Linked DNA regions of Drosophila melanogaster. The protein of the gene in region 1 interacts with the protein of each later gene in a pairwise test. Each region holds a gene or a part of one and is shown on either strand. Other genes may lie near its edges.

Region 1 (4,604 bases):
AACAACAACAAGTAAAACAATAACACGCCACACGCGCAAAGCTAAAAATGACGGTTCTGCCGACTGGTCTTTATCTAAGAAATATCCTCTGGGGGGGGGTGTGGGTTAGTTGAAATACCCGAAATATTATAGGCCCCGCAAGCACAAACACTCTAAAATTCGGGCATTATCAATGGCCTAATAACATCTGAGCACAGAAGTCCCTCTTGAGATCCACGCTCCCTCTATGATACCCCCCCCTAGCAGCATTTTAGTTCGCTGGCGACGCCTCTGGAGAACACGTACGCATGTCTTCTTCAGTTTCTCTGCTGATCGGTGGGGATCGGAAATCGTATACTGTATATTGTAATATTCTGCACTTCCATGTGTCCGATTTGTTATAAACAATAACAAAGTCTCTTTGTAATTGATTGGTTGATAGGTGGGGGAGGGGGTGCGGCAACAACAACACCAAAACCAAACCAGTTGACATGCGCTCTTTAAAATCAAAATCTCACTGCGCTCTCTGAATTGTGCCCTGCGAAAGGTAAGGCATTTTAGTTTTCGGACTCAATACGAACTATCAAGCGTAACTACATATTGTATATTGTTGCCCATTCATTATGAAAGGGTAAGCACTCAATAAAGTTAGTGCTTCTCATATTTCCTCAGGTTAGATAAATCGATATAATACATATGCATAATGCGTTTTTGAAGTTGGTATTTTAATATGGACAAATTATAGGTTACTTTATGAGGCGATTAAAGCTGTTTTTATATTTTATGTTATTCCTTACAGTTTCTAAAGACAAGATTGCCTTTCCATAAAAATTTTAAATCAATAAAAAGAGTAACATAGTCTTGTAGCTTAATTCATAAATAATCATGAACCTAAACAATAAATACATATATTAAAATCCATACGACATCAGCGGGACCTAAAACAGCCCCATTGCTGTCAAACCTCCTCTCTAGGTCAATAGTTCCCGGAGCAGATGCCGTTGTGAGCATAATGGTGCTGTTTGTGCCGGCAGGCACACAAGTTAGGAGCGAAGCAGTAAGCTCGTGGTCCGCAGTTGCTGGAGGTACAGTTTAGGGCAAGTGTGGCGAAAAGATATAGCGACAATCAAACTTACTGATCACAGATTGGCATGCATTGCTGTCCATGAAGCAGGCTGTCCCTTAGCTCGTATCCCTGGGCACAGATGCACCGTCCGTCGGAGGAGCAGTTGCCATGTGTGCAGCGCCTGGAAATGAGAAAGGGCACATAAACGCATACGTATGTATGTACACTTCCTAAGCGATAAGGTGAGGAGCAAGAATCATACTCACCCAAGGCAGGGGTCCAGCAGACGGGGAGCCCTGTGGCGGCACTTTTGGGAGAGGGGATCAAAGTAGTAGTGCCTGTCCTCACGGCACACACAGAGATCTGGTGCGGCGCAGTAGCCACCTGCCGCCACGCACCCGGGGAGGCACTCTGCGGCACACACCAAACCATCCGGATTACCCGCCATATACTGATCGGCACAGGGACAGGATCCGTCCTCGAAGCACACTCCATTCAGGCAGACGATGTTGCAGCGCCTTACGCACTGGCGGGTGTTGACCACCAGCATTTCGTAGTCGGAGCAAAGCTGTGAAGGCTCGTTGATCTCCCAGTAGCCGTAGTCGTAGTAATAGTGACCCTCTACTACTGCCCACAGCAGCAACTGTAGGAAGACCATCCGGCGCGACATCTCGGCTAATGGCAAGTGATGAGCCGCGGATTGGTTCAGGCAACGAAAGGGAGAGTGAAAGTGCTTTCCGGAGGCTGCGCACTTTGTGTACGGATCTCATTACGGCCTCGGTCACGATCACTGTGCACAAACACAGTGCGGATGACGCAATGGCCCCCAACACACTCGGCCAACTGATAACCGCTCGACCGAAGATCGTTTCGATCGGAATTGCACATGATCAGCCCGAATCGAAGCGGCGGCGTGCATTACTCACCCGAACGGGGGTGGAGGCAATGGTGGGGTTGGTGGTGGTGGAGTCGACAGATTGGATCCAACTCGAACGCGTGTGCAGAGAGCCAGGGAGAGCTATTCGAGGACTGATTCTGAATTCGGAATGTCTGGATTTCCACGCTCTCAATGAGAAATCGGCGCCCACATCTGCATAAGGCACTGAAAACATCAACATTTAAAAATATACAAAATACATTCGAAAAAAATTCCTCATTAAATTACAATATTTTATATTAATTATTTCCTCTAAGTAAACATTCTTACCAAACATAGTCATTCAGTTTCTTAAATTCTTCCGGCTGATTTAAATTTATACGATAAATACGTAACGCATAAACCAACTTAGAACTCGATTATTACGATTTGATGCACCAAACCTTTTCTTCCAGTGCTCCGATTGGGGCCTGGCTCCGTTTGCGACTGCAGCTGGCTTTAATGGGCTCCATTCATTCGGTCGGTCGGAGTCGGCGAGAGATGACGCTGGCGAGGAACGGCAGCAGACACGCCTGCGCGAACAGAAGCTCAGATCCAAAGTTCCAGAGTGTGGAATAAAGTTGCCAAATAGCTGCAGCCGCTTGGGGGATTAGCGAAAACGCCATCGAGGCAGAGTTATTTTCCCGCTAGACTCTATTTCCCTTCGCTTCGACGTCAGCTGCGAATTTTGTTCTTGACAGAGCCGCGGACTGCGCGGTCTACCGCCTCGCCCTCGCCCTCGTGCTCCCCCTATCCCACAGTCAACCTCCGCTCGCGTGTGAGTGTGGGGTGAATAACATAAAACAGACGGCAGAAAGGCACCGCATAACAGCGAGCGGCGAAAACATAAAATAAACAATTCCATTTCGGGCTGGTCAGCTGGGAGGAAGTTCTGGTCTGGCCCCGCGCTGCTGGTGGTGGCGAGTGGTGCGACGGTGGTGGTGGGTGACGGCAAAGTGGGTGTGGGATGTGCGTGCCCAGACAAAGTAAGAGCGCTTAGAGTCTATTATCTATCCGGCAAGTGCTGACGCGTTGCGATCGCCCGTCGTCGATCGCTAAATCTGTGTACTCCGAAAAATCTGGTGCATCAAAATGTGCTACGTTATTATCACCATCGCCAGTCTGGTGTGGTTCCTCTGTTCGCTGGTGGCCGACATGCTCTTTGCTGTGGCCCTGGTCACGCCCAGGTGGCTGGTGGGCCCCGCCCAAGGAACAGACTCCACCGCCAGCTCTCACCACCAATCCTCGGTGGGCATCTACACGCGCTGCAAGGTCATGCAGGAGGGCGGATTCCAATGCGGCCGCTTCGACTTGGACGGACTGGCCACGGACAGTAGCGTTTACCCCAACGAATGGAAAGCGGCAATGTTCTTCGTCATGCTGGGATTTAGTCTACTCTCTGTAACGGTGATCCTGACCCTGATCACCTGCTGCCGCCAGTCGGCCTGTGGCAAGAGCATACACAACATGACGGCCTGCGCCCAGGTCGTAGCAGGTAAGCAACCATTACTGTGATATCCTCGCAGCATTTAAGTTTGCATTGTTTATAGGAATATGTATGATGTTGGGTCTATTTCTGCATCCGATGGGATGGCGAGCGAACCGGATTCAACGTCTATGCGGCATGGATGCCGAACCCTTTTACCCCGCCGACTGTAGCATAGGTAATTCTTTGAAACTTTTCTTAGAAACTTACTAAACTTAATCCTTACAGGAGTTTCATTCTACTGCGGAATCATTGGGGTACTCCTAACATTTACTGCCGCCGGTATAAGCCTAAAGGCAGAGTCTTCCAATATGCGAACTCGAGTTCGCAGACGCGTGGAGGCGGGCAGTAAACTGGTCTGTATTCCGTAGCTGCCTTTGAATACAATAAGAACACTATCTGACTTGGAGCGAGCATACTTAACTTCATTCTCGAATTAAATTTATCATTAGCATAAATAAACTTTTAACATTCTACAGTATAGATACAAGGTGTGGGTGGATATCTATACGACCCTACTTGTTGCGCTTGCCCTTAGCTTTGCCAGGAGGCTTGCCCTCAACATTAGGCTTTGCCTTAGGTATGTAGACACCATGGTTCGTCTTCTTTAGGTGGGCAAACAGCTTGTTCTTGGAGTCAAAGACAAGCCTACAGGTAACACAAGTGTGTTGCGACTTGGTCGGGTCGAGGTCCTCATCTCCGCTTTTGGGAGCCACTGTTGCCTCCTTTGTATTCGGTTCCGAAACAGTTTGCTCTAATAGCTTAACCTTCCTAGTCGTCGTCTTTTTGCTTTTACTCTTTTTGCTCGCTTTTTTGCCTTTACTCCAGTCTTCATCCTCTGACTCGCTCTTGATTGCCTTCTTTTCTATTGGCTCATCTGGTTCGTCACTGCCTTCCGCCTGCGCTTGCTTGACAGCTGACTTCCTTGCCTTTTTGTTTTTTTTGGTTCGTTTGGCTAGCGAAGATTCTTCTTCGCTTGGAACCCCGTCGAAAGATATCTGATCCTCAGAGACTTGCAATTCTTCCAGCGATTCCTGTACGCCCATTAAACTGTCTTCATGGGGTTCATTGTGGAAAGCGTCCTCTTCTTCCTCCATTTCCTGACACAGCCGGTCGACATTTTCATTATGCTTCTTGCTTTCTTCGTGATTAGCACG
Region 2 (3,495 bases), on another chromosome or scaffold:
CTGTAGCAATCGTCTATCCACTGCGCTGCCTTTGCTGGCGTCTTCTGCGCTGCTGTTGGCGGCGGCGCCTTTGGCGCTGTTGGCGCCTTTGGCGCTGTTGGCGCCTGCGCCGTTGGCGGGCCAAGCGACGACGACGGGCGGCGGCCCTGCGACGACGGGCGGCCGCGCTGGAGGACGACGACGAGGACGAGGACGAAGAAGTGGTGGTAGTCGTGGCAGACGAGGCCACTGTGGTGGTGTCGGAAGACGTTGAGGCTTCAGTTGTGTCGGAGGAAGAGGACGCGGTAGTGGAGGTGTCCGAGGCGCTGGTACTATCCGAGGAGCTTTCAGTGCTCGTTCCCGTAGCTTCGCAGCCCTGCTGGGCAAACAGGAGGCAGCCGAGAAGGGCCAAGAGCAGAACAAATATGAATCGCATTCTAAGCAGTTATATCTTATGATTTGGAGAATAGCCTATTTATATGATGTTGAACCCGGAAACTTGGTTGAGAAACGCGCTCATTACCGTAAATCTATTACATTATTATGTGTGTTAAGACTCAAGAGCAACGTTTAAACTATATGGCGGCACACATAATTTCTCAATCTGAATAAACATTACCAAAATTTACCTTAGTTAAAGCTAACAATCCAGCAGACCTATTAGCTTACACGCTTTTGGTAAACCACCATTATTCAAATTTGCTATAAAAACATGCGTAACGTCTCAAATGCGTCAAAGACATTCAGCATGCGCTTCTCGATCGTAATTGTTCTTTCCGTCCTAGGATGCCTCCTGCTTAGCCAGGAGGGCAGTAGCAGCACATCTACATCCTCGACGACGACCACAACCACCGACTCCTCTGCCACCACTACCACGGCTTCGTCCGCCACCACTACCACCACTGCCTCTTCCGCATCCACCACGACCACTGCCTCCTCCTCATCCTCTTCCTCTGCGGAGGCCAGGAGGCGCAGGCGCGCCCGTCGCCGTCGTCTGGCGCGTGAGAGGCAACGAAGGGAGCGCAGAAGGCAGCGCAGGACTCAGAGGCTGCGCCAGCAACTGGAGAATCAACGTCGACAGATCAACCAGCTGAGCGGATGAAGGTCTTCGGAAAGACTCGGCTTATGACAATTTAGGAAAAGCTGTTGTAAATATGTGAAAGCTAAATTCTTTCATTGTTCAAGTTCGCCAAGATAATAAAACATTTGATTGTACATTCTGATAATTCTACTTTATTGGAGCACAAAAACGTGTGGGAGTGGCATATTTAAGCGGCTTGAGGGAGTTCAACGTTCTCAACTCTCTAGCTTTTAGAGTTGCTGAGGTCGAGACATTCGTTCGGACAGACGGAGTAATAGTGATCAAGCATATACATATGTATAATTAATAGGGTCGGAAACGCCTGTTACATACTTTTCAACAAATCTAGTTTAGTCTCATTCCAGGAGTAGCCTGTTTCAAATCGAGACGAATTTTGAAATCGGTAACTGGTATAAAATTAATATAATTATACACATCTTTGTTGTGTTTGGTTTAAAAATAATGTAAACCACGTATTTGTTTTTTTGGAAAATAAATCTCTAATTTCGGAGAACTTAAATGGATATAAGCCAAAATGCAACAGCACAAAACTGTTAATTGGGTACGCAAAGCTCAAATGAAGAACAAATAAAACACCTTTAACTCGTCAAGTGCTGCGATTTTTACTCAGATAAGATGTGAATGTACATAAATAGGTTATACCAAATATTTCCTTCAGACGTGACGTGGTCGCCATACATAATTAGGCGTAAGAAGCGTTATAATATTACCTTTTTATCTCGTTTTCAACGAGTTAAACCCGGCTCACTATCAATAATATATCGATCGACTCTTTTACTCTGTTGACCTTACAAGCCCAAGACATTGACGAGCTGGATAGGCTGTGCACACATTTCCGATTTCCGATACATGATATTTGTTTAATTGTTACCCCGTATTGAGTATAAAAGGCCGTCTGATTAGATTAGATTAGACACAACAAAATGCGCTTCCTATTCGCTCTACTTCTCAGCGTGCTCCTGTGTCTGCTCCTGGCTCAGGAGGGCAGTAGCAGCACATCTACATCCTCGACGGCGACCACATCCACCGACTCCTCTGCCACCACTACCACGGCTTCATCCGCCACCACCACTACCACCACTGCCTCCTCCGCATCCACCACGACCACTGCCTCCTCTTCCTCCTCCTCGGCGGAGGCCAGGAGGCGCAGACGTGCTCGCCGTCGTCGCCTGGCTCGTGAGCGCCGTCGTCGCCAGGAGCGGAGACAGCGCCAGGAAAAGAGGAGGCGCAGGATGGAGCAGCTGCTGGTGAGGCAGCGTCGCCTGATCAATCAGCTTCAGGGATAAGTGGGGGCTTGGTCCCTTAAGATAGAATCTTCGGCCGTTCAATAGAAATATAAGCGCTGCACCAACTAATCAGATTATTAGATTGATCTCTTTCTTTGGAGGTATTTTTGAGAAGGCATGCCTGCAGCGTTGAGCAAGGTTTCGTTGTGGGCATTAGAGCATTTAAGACGTTTCCACAGGCATTCCCACGCACATCTACATATTCTATCCGACAAGCGGCGAATCCGCGCAATTCCAAGGCGGCAGACAATTGGCCCTATCCCTGGAGTTTATTATACCAGAGCTTGAGCGCTCGAAAATGCTTTTCTTGCAGCCAAGCTCAGCAGTCAGCCCGCCTGGAATCAAATCAAATAAAATATTCATTTTGGTCTTTGAACTGTGCATAAATGTGCTGCTGTTCACGAAGTGATGGAGCCACCCAAGCCCTGGATACTTAAATCTATTGGATGTGAATAAAAATTACGCTGAATGTGTGCATATATAAAGAGTGCGGTTTGGTGACGGCACGTCATCATATTCTTAGACGTTTCAAAAAGCCAAGGATAACATAGAGACTGACAGGGGGAATCGATGTTTTTTGGTCTTTTTTTTTTTTGCATAACTGCTTGAAAGCAGTTCAAGATTGGGGTTATATTCTGTTAACAATATTCGAATCCACATTTGCTTCTTTGTGCCCATTAATTGCTCAGATCAGACGCATAGAGAATGCCGCCATCTCTGAAGGCTGAAGAAATTTTTTATCGGATTTTCTCGCTACAAAATTGCATTTCAGGGAACTTCGTCCGCAGACTGGGCAGCAATTGAGGGAAACGAAAATAAGCAAAATGCCGCCAGCCAAAAGGTAAAGTACGTTAGGCTGGGCCAACCCTTATTGTTGTCATTTTCCAGATTGCCATTCTGCCATCAATGCCGATTCTAAGCACAAAACGGAGAAAAATGTGTTCTTTCCATCAGATTATTTCCTTCAGATCCGAACCCCTTTTTTAAATTGCTGTGGCATGCGAAATCTTAAAGGAGTCGTAGATTAATGCCCATTTAAACAAATCCTTCAGACATTTTGAGTAACTAAACCTGAACAAGAAAAGGAACTTGTTTTTGCACTAATTGTGGTTTCAGGTGAGTAAATCA

Evidence for each region.
Region 2: the proteins of CG15861 (region 1) and CG14454 interact in a two-hybrid assay, tested with the Drosophila melanogaster proteins (one large-scale study listed by BioGRID).

The regions. Positions count from the first base shown.
Region 1 is NT_033778.4:24,942,708-24,947,311, forward strand, and holds CG15861 (uncharacterized protein), read right to left. Parts: upstream 2,495-4,604; 5' UTR 2,253-2,494; intron 2,148-2,252; 5' UTR 1,716-2,147; coding exon 1,312-1,715; intron 1,227-1,311; coding exon 1,116-1,226; intron 1,059-1,115; coding exon 956-1,058; 3' UTR 685-955; downstream 1-684. Other genes in the region: CG3770 (uncharacterized protein), read left to right, coding at 3,054-3,456, 3,512-3,625, 3,676-3,818; CG2790 (uncharacterized protein), read right to left, coding at 3,963-4,604.
Region 2 is NT_037436.4:22,691,022-22,694,516, reverse strand, and holds CG14454 (uncharacterized protein), read left to right. Parts: upstream 1-1,988; 5' UTR 1,989-2,004; coding exon 2,005-2,367; 3' UTR 2,368-2,843; downstream 2,844-3,495. Other genes in the region: CG14453 (uncharacterized protein), read right to left, coding at 14-415; CG12546 (uncharacterized protein), read left to right, coding at 728-1,081.